2 linked regions of the Bombyx mori genome follow. The main gene of each other region encodes a partner of the protein of the gene in region 2 in a complex. Links are inferred from orthologs where the notes say so. Each region holds a gene or a part of one and is shown on either strand. Other genes may lie near its edges. The genes, in order: suppressor of fused homolog and serine/threonine-protein kinase fused.

What was found.
Region 1: the proteins of serine/threonine-protein kinase fused (region 2) and suppressor of fused homolog are in contact, whole or in part, in a crystal structure (PDB 6LPH), measured with the Drosophila melanogaster proteins. The link is inferred for Bombyx mori from reciprocal best matches to the Drosophila melanogaster genes fu and Su(fu). Residues at the interface, in NP_477499.1 of Drosophila melanogaster: Phe371, Val372, Ser373, Asn375, Ser376, Asn377, Met378, Ile379, Leu380, Asn381, His382, Met383, Asn384, Asn386, Phe387; in NP_536750.2 of Drosophila melanogaster: Leu18, Ile22, Pro33, Asn34, Pro35, Leu36, Gln37, Val38, Thr39, Thr40, Leu41, Leu42, Asp50, Tyr54, Met57, Arg127, Thr130, Trp131, Ala133, Asn134, Gln137.

Annotation. Positions count from the first base shown.
Region 1 is NC_085130.1:19,120,444-19,124,271, forward strand, and holds part of suppressor of fused homolog, read right to left. Parts: intron 3,828-3,828; coding exon 3,631-3,827; intron 3,340-3,630; coding exon 3,191-3,339; intron 1,489-3,190; coding exon 1,403-1,488; intron 733-1,402; coding exon 606-732; intron 1-605.
Region 2 is NC_085116.1:10,508,041-10,512,521, forward strand, and holds the start of serine/threonine-protein kinase fused, read right to left. Parts: upstream 3,003-4,481; 5' UTR 2,816-3,002; coding exon 2,705-2,815; intron 2,339-2,704; coding exon 2,079-2,338; intron 1,595-2,078; coding exon 1,426-1,594; intron 492-1,425; coding exon 336-491; intron 213-335; coding exon 22-212; intron 1-21. UniProt on the Drosophila melanogaster protein: Probable serine/threonine-protein kinase; maternally required for correct patterning in the posterior part of each embryonic metamere. May be involved in control of cell division during metamorphosis and ovarian development. May interact with costal-2.

The sequences.
Region 1 (3,828 bases), on a different chromosome or scaffold from region 2:
TCAGCATTTCATTGAGTGCAGCATACACGGGACTCATCAATAGTATTTAGGCAGCGGCTTGGCTCTGCCCCTGGCATTGTTGAAGTCCATGGGCGACGGTAACCACTCATCATCAGGTGAGCTGTACGCTCGTCTGCCTATAAGGGCAATAAAAAAAAAACAAAATGTGTGCAATTCACACGTGGTAGAAGTGAAACCTTCCAAAATTAAAATACAATTATCCTAAACGTCTTAAGTATATGTAAAATTTTGTCATTAGTAAATAATTGTAAGGTGGCGCCCTCTGTGAATTGATATTTTAATTTCACGTATAATCCTAAATTAAAATTCACTACAAGAGCTTTCATACACACGTTAGTATTAAAAAATCTCACAGATAGCGCTGTATTAAATAGTATGTATATTTCTGTCTCATTCTTTGCTGGCTTCATCCTACACATTTTTATATATGTGTCTCTTACCTGTCGTTTTTTCCGTTGCATCCGGTTTGAAATCACAACGATTCTAAAGAAGTTTTCACTTCAAAATATATATTAACGTGTCATCCGCCCGACCCTGCGGTCTATGAGCTCGTGCGTCCGCTACAGTACAATACACAGACGTACCTCCCACGCGGCCCAGCGCACGTCGCAGGAGACGCCGGCCAGCTGCGCCAGCGCGCCCCCCGCGCCGCCCCCCGCCCGCACCGACACCCGCCGCTCCATGCGCGTCACCAGCCAGCACCCGCCGCACCTGAACACAGCGCGACACTGTAGCCGGGTCGCGCCCCCCCAACCCCCCGCACGACCCCGCCAACAGACGACTACCCTTTTTTTTATTGTTTAGATGGGTGGACGAGCTCACAGCCCACCTAGTCTTAAGTGGTTACTAGAGCCTATAGACCAGGCCATAGATAGCCAAACCCGTCGCTTGCGACGTAGGACTCGGCGAATAAGCTAACCCACAGACACAGCCCACTGAGTTTCTCGTCGGATCTTCTCAGTGGGTCGCGTTTCCGATCCGGCGGTAGATTCTGTGCCAGTGTTAGCAACACATCCGGTTTGAGCCCCGACAGCTCGCCTACGCGTTAAGGTGAAGCTGAAATAGCCTCTCAAGGCTATCAGCATAGGAAGAAAAGACAGAAAAAAAACAGCTGGTCTATGGCGCATTTTATTTATTTATTTATTGCCTAGATGGGTGGACGATCTCACAGCCCACTTTGTATAAAGTGGTTACTGGAGCCCATAGACATCTACAATGTAAATGAGCCATACATCTTGAGATATAAATTCTAGAGTCTCAAGTATAGTTACAACGGCTGCCCCACCCTTCAAACCGAAACGTATTACTGCTTCACGGCAGAAATAGGCGGGGTGGTGGTACCTACCCGCGCGGACTCACAAGAGGTCCTACCACCACTCACCTCGGGTCCTGCGCTATGAGTTTCAGTACCTCGCAGACGGAGCTCCTCTGGGCCGCCCTCAGTTCTCTGCTGGTGCAGCCCACCATCTGCAACACGCGGGAGGTCAACTCTAAGGCCGCTCGGTGCACGCAATGAAACAATCAGAGCTCAACGGGTCAACGAACTGTCATGACCGTCACTCTACATTACGGGTTCACGTCATAGGAAATGATCAACAACAGCCAGAGAGACGCGAGCTCCACGTGTTAACTGTACCAACGGTAGCAGCTTGGTTCTGTTCCTGGCACTGCTGACGTCCATGAGCGACGGTATCGGCTCACTATCAGATGGGACGTTTGCTAGTCTGTCTACGAAGATGAAAAAAATGTTTGGAAATTTTAACACAAACAAGGATAATGTTACGCCGGCAAGAGCAACGCCATCTATAGTCGGATAATAGCAGAAACGATTATCGAAAATACTCGACTTGTGTGGAATGTTCTCGATAGTTCTAGGGATGTCGTACCGACTATAAAAGCGTTGTAGGGATGGCACGCAGCCAGTTAGTAATCGGATCTACTCGAAGCGAAATAGCGAGCGGATCACCTGAAGCAGCGGTCGGGGAACTTTTTTAATTATTACCCTAAAATATTTTTGTGTAAGTTGATATTACCCCATGGTGAAGAACTAAAAAAAAACGAAATCGCTTCTTCTTAGCATCTTTCATATTATAACCTCCATGATAATTTGAAATCACGACTCTAAAGAAGTTTCACTTCAATATATACTTTTTACTATAAAAGTTTCATTTTTACACCCCAAAATTTCATTTTACCCCGGTTCCCCAACCGCTGACCTAAAGCGAAGCGGAAGAAGTGAATTGAGAATTTTAAAGTGTTTGTTGAGTGTTCCAAGTCTTAATTTGTACTTCGGTATAATTTTATTTATCCCGAACCCCAGCGCGTAACAATAATGCATCCACAATATAATTATCGAATCCCTTTTTTTTTTTAATAGATTTTATGACCTGGTAACTGAGACCTTTAAGTCATGTTTTATTTTAATTTATATTCATATTTTTATGAAAAATGTAATGAAATGAAGATGATTAATTTGAGACATTAATCAACTGGGATGAAATCAAACGAAATGAGATGAGATGATACGGGATGAAATATAACCGCAGTAAAATGGTGGGCATTTACTAAGATTTTTTCAGTGGACTTTTTGGAGGATCCCGAGAAGTTACGTCCAGCGGCTTTGATTCATTTTCCCACATGCTCGTGTGTTGCTCGTGAGTTGAAGAGAGAGCGAAATATTCGCTTCACCGCTCCGATTATTTATGACCCAAACTGCACGGACAAAATAATTCTACTATAGGAGACCACTAGTATTGTTCTATTTGACAAATCCATTTTAAAATTTGACAGTTCTTTTTTTTTTGGAGTTTATGACCTGGCAACAAAGACTTTTAGGTCATGTCTTATTTTAATTCATATTCTTATTTTTCGCGGCTTTCTTTCATTTTCCCACATTTGTGCACTTTCACAGCTGATACTAAACAGTTAATAAACCACCGTTATTCCACATTTAAACCTGAAGAAACACTAAATAGACAAAATAAAACAAATCACACAACTTCCCTCCTCGCGTTCCCGCCAAAAAGTCCCCGTTGTCTGCAACAAGACACGCACAGGGGGACGAACTTCCTACGAGGACCCCACGGTTAGGGGGCGCGCGGGGTAGGTAAGACTTGATGATCTGCAGATGTTGGGAGCAGACCATGGGCCCAAGGAGCACACAGGATACCTGTAGGAAGGTGACGATGCCGTGCGGCGTGCGAGCGTGTCGCAGCTGCGGCTCTGTCGCGACCAGCAGGTGTCGCATGCGGCCCCCGGACCTCTCGCCGTCCAGCGGACGATGCCACGATATGTGGTCCCCGGCGCACAGCTTGTTACCTAAACCAGAAGAACCGTAGTAATTATTGGTGGTAGATACCATCACCTCCCTGCCTATTTCTGCCGTGAAGCAGTAATGCGTTTCTGTTTGAAGGACGGGGCAGCCGTTGTAACTATACTGAGACCTTAGAACTGATATCTCAAGGTGGGTGGCGCATGTACGTTGTAGATGTCCATGGGCTCCAGTAACCACTTAACACCAGGTGGGCTGTGAGCTCGTCCAACCATCTAAGCAATAAATAAAAAAAACTGACCTCAAGAAACGTCTATGAACAAACGTCACATTCAGACCTGTAGTGAACACGTATCTGGCCAAGGCCTGCAAGAGAGCCGCCGGCCACAGCGGGGGGTGCTCTGCCCCGTCAGCCGCGAGCCGGAACGTCAGCTCGATGCCGCAGCCAGACGGCAGGGGCGCGCCCGCGGACAGCGCCGCGCGATCCGGCGGAGGGTGGACCCTCCCATCCCCGTGAAGGTCTGACAGACCGAAAC
Region 2 (4,481 bases):
TCTGTAAGTAATTTTTATTACCTTGCATTCCCAATGCATATTTTTTCCCGCTGCAATTGCTTGGCTTCTTGCTGACTGTGTGTTAAAGGCTTGGTAAATGGTGATTCACTCTGGACGTCTTCTGGTAGAATAAGAATGTGACCAGCTACAAATGGATGTTCCAATATTTCTGGCCAGCTCATTCTTTTCAAAGGATCTTTATGCAATAAGCCCTAAATAAATATTTTAATACTATTAAACTAATGGTACAAATAGTATAACTTAATTAAACGTAAAATGTTAAATTATTTGTGCAGTTTTAAAAGCTTGAAGTGAGAGCTCAAAAGCAAACAAACCTGTAGGAAGGTCCGAGCATTAGTGCTGATGAAACTAGGCCACTGTACAGGTTTGTGTCTAATCATGCGGACAAGTTGCCATATAGACATTGTACAGAAAGGTGGTTGCCCAGCAATTAGCTCATATACAATACAGCCAAGTGACCATAAGTCTGCCTGAAAAAAATACACAAAATAAAAATACAATTGAGATCTCAATATAATGTCTCAAAATAGGTGTGCTCAAACACATTGAGATATCTATGGGCTCAGGTAACCACATAGCACAAAGTGGCTTATTCACCCATATTATTATACTTAAAAAAAAACAATTTGGATAATTATTATATTGATATTTAGTCAGTATTGTGATAGCAAATTTTTTTAACTCCTGTTGTTATAGGTGCTGAAATTTTCCACAAGGAGCCCTGTAATGTACAAAAATGTTTGCAACTCTTTAGGATTAATAACAATATTCCATGAGGTTTTGATGCATATTTGTGCATAAAAAGTGACAGAAATATCTGTATAAAATGAAGTTTTAACGATATAATCACTTTTGTTTATAGCAAAGTGATTAATTAATATATAAACCCTACCATATATGCATACATAAAAATATTGTTGAATAAACTATCATTAGCATAAATTCATGTTTTTTTTTTTTTAATTACGTACAGGAAAATCTCTGAAATTATTGATTTATATTAATTAGGCTAAGGACAAATTAAAATAAAAGTACTCTAAAATATGTCAATTATTGTTATAAATAATGTTTTACTAAGAATAATTAATGTAATTTTGAAAATTGAAAGTATTACTATATAATATAATAGCATAGCTGCATTGATGGAACAGCATGCATACTAAGTATCCATACTTCCACACTATACAAATATTATAAATGTGAAAGTGTGTTTGTTATTAGATTGTGTATTTGTATGCCCTTTCACATCAAAACAAAGCAACAGATTGACCAGTTTTTTTTTTTTAATTATAGTTTTACTAAGAATAGTTAGGTCAGACGGAAGACATAGGTAAAAACATGTCATCTCCACAGAAAATTACAGTATAACTCTTTGTTTATATAATGCTATTTTAATATAATTACCTGATGATCATATGGCTTCTCATCAATTAACTCGGGGGCCATGTACAATGGTGTGCCTTTGATGGATGTTAAAATGTGTGTTGCATTTGTCATTATTCTTGCAAGACCAAAGTCACAGAGTTTGGCACGTCCTGTACTATCCAATAGCACATTTTGTGGCTTGAGGTCTCTAAAATTGTTATTTTGTATGATAAATGTTCAGGAATAATATAAAATCATAATAAATGAATCATAGATATTTCTATGATTATTTTCTTTCTCAATTTTATGCAATGAGAATTACTTCAATATCCAATTTCAACGTTAAAAGCTCAGATCAAATTAAATATTAACTATAAGAACAATAATAACTTTCTATCCTACTCTCAATTTTTTTACAAATTAATCTTTTTATTTAAATAAATCTTAATAGATTCAGTATCCAGAACCAATCAATATAACTGTCCACATTGAGATATAAGATGAATGTCTCTATTATAAGCCAGGCTATAGAGAAAAAATGAATAAATTATACTGATTTCACCTAGCTATGCCCCCTGCCAAGGTCCAAAAAATGTTTAGATATAATTATTATTTACATCAATAATGATATAATATTAATAATGTGTGTTTAGTATTATTATTTGATATAAAATATGAAACAAACAAGTTACCTATGTAAAACTCTATGAGAATGTAAGTAGTACAGTGCAGACACAAGGTCCCAAGTAATCTTCTTCACTTGTTCTTCATTAAGACAACCCTCCTTAGCCAATATTCCATGTAGTTCTTTCTCAGCATATTCTGTGACAACTACCAATTCTGTATCAGTGTCGAAACTGTCTATCATCCGAATTATGTTTGGATGATTCAATTGCCTCTGTATGTCGCATTCTTGCTTCAAACATTTTAAGTCTTTAGACGAGCGACCTTTCTGAAAATGTTGAATTATTGTGTAAGAATATTTGTTTATTAACTAATGTGGATGACGAGAGGTTTGACCGTGATATCTATGACAGCGAAGACATTGGGATCATGATAACTGAATAAGACCATTTAAAATTTTACTAGTAAGAAAACCTGGTTAATAACATTCTCTGTGTGTACAATTATTATTTTATCACACTTTATTAATGATCTTATTAAATATATTATTTTGGAAATAGTGGAAATGAAGATTTAATAAGCACTCGCAAGTTTTTTTTGTAATTTATTTGTATTGATGGTATACATTTATAGAAAAAAATTAGGAAATCATGAAGGCACCAAGTATTTAAAGTCATAAAAACTTAATAAATACCTTCCTTATCACTTTCAAGGCTACTACAGCATCGGTATCTTTGTGTTTTGCTTTAAAAACACGTCCAAATGAGCCTTCGCCGACGAATGAATTTATAACGTAGCTATTCATTTTAAAATGTAAAGTTGTATATCTATTATGGTGTATATATGGTGCTAATATAGATCCATTAATTTTGAAACTTCCTGTTTTTATTTATTGATTTGCATTTCTCTGCTCCAGTCGTCGTACATATGTATTGTAAATAAACATAAAATATTTTGTTCTCTTCGTAATGTAGTAATTTTATTTTTCCAAATAGAAAGGCAAAAGTATCATACCATACAGCCTAATCTTTTATAAATTTATTTTATTTTATGAAATATGACATTATGAAATAAAATGAAGTGAAACATGACATGAAATGAAATGAAGATGATTAATTTGAGACATTAATCAACTGGGATAAAATTAAATGAAATATGATGAGATTATATGCGATGAAATATAATCTCAGTAAAATGGTGGTCATTTACTGATTTTTTCAGTGGACTTTTTGAAGGATCCCGAGAAGTTACGTCCAGCGACTTTGTTTCATTTTCCCATATTTGTGCACTTTCACAGATAATAAACAGTTAATAAACCAACGTTATTACACATTTAAACCTGAAGAAACACTAAATAGACAATACATAATATCATGTACGTTAAAAGACTGGAGCAGAGAAATGCAAAACAATAAATAAAAACAGGAAGTTTCAAAATTAATGGATCTATATTAGCACCATATATACACCATAACAGATATACAATTTAGAATAAATGAATTTATTGTAAAAAGAAACCGTGGGGTGCATGGTTATAACAGTTATAAATATTTTGATAATACATATCCTGAAAACCACCCACACTTTTTTTACAATAAGATCATTTTTTTCTTACACTATTTTTAATTCAAATTTATTAAAATTTATTTTCTATTTTTAGTTTAATTTTTATAAAAGCTTATTTTTTTTAGTAATTTTAAACTATTATTTTCAATCTAAAACCAAAGAATCGATTCGAGCGTGGAAAATTGAAATTCCTTGTTTGTTGTTACAAAAAACGACCACAAAATAATTTACAATAGCCGGCTTAGGAAAGTGGCGAGGTCTCTAGACCAAAAGCGATCATAGACGCGGTTTCTTTGAAAAAGCAACCCGACCTATTAGGTAGCCTTCTTATCATATTTTTTTCTCCTACCTATTCGCCGGGAATTATTACAACTACGGTTAGATGAGCACACAGGCTCAACCTGAGAGAATTTGCTAAAATCAGCCCTAGCAAGGGCAGTGCTTCGCAGAATCTACCACTGAATCGGACCCACTAAGAATATCCAACAAGAAACTCAGTGGGCGGCGAAGTGTTCGACATGCAACTTAATCCACAGACATAATCGCCTGAGTTTTCCCCGGATATTCTCAGTGAGTGGCTCCATAGATAAGACCAAATGATTCATTGGTTACATTAGGTTAGCTACAAATTTATTTTCTTTACATTGTTTGAAGATATTTCATAAAACCTTATTCGAATATTTTTTTCAATAAATTCTTCATACTTCGATTCGGATTAATTCAAAGGTCAACCTTTTTTGAAAAGAATAGCTTCATAGCGAAGTGAAATTGTTATTGATTTATCTGAAATTGTTTTTTATTACATTAGATGGGTGGAGAAGCTCGTATACAGCCTGGATTTGGACGGTTACCACAGTTCACGGACATTTTGACCTGAATGCCCCCCGGCACCTTCATACACAAGT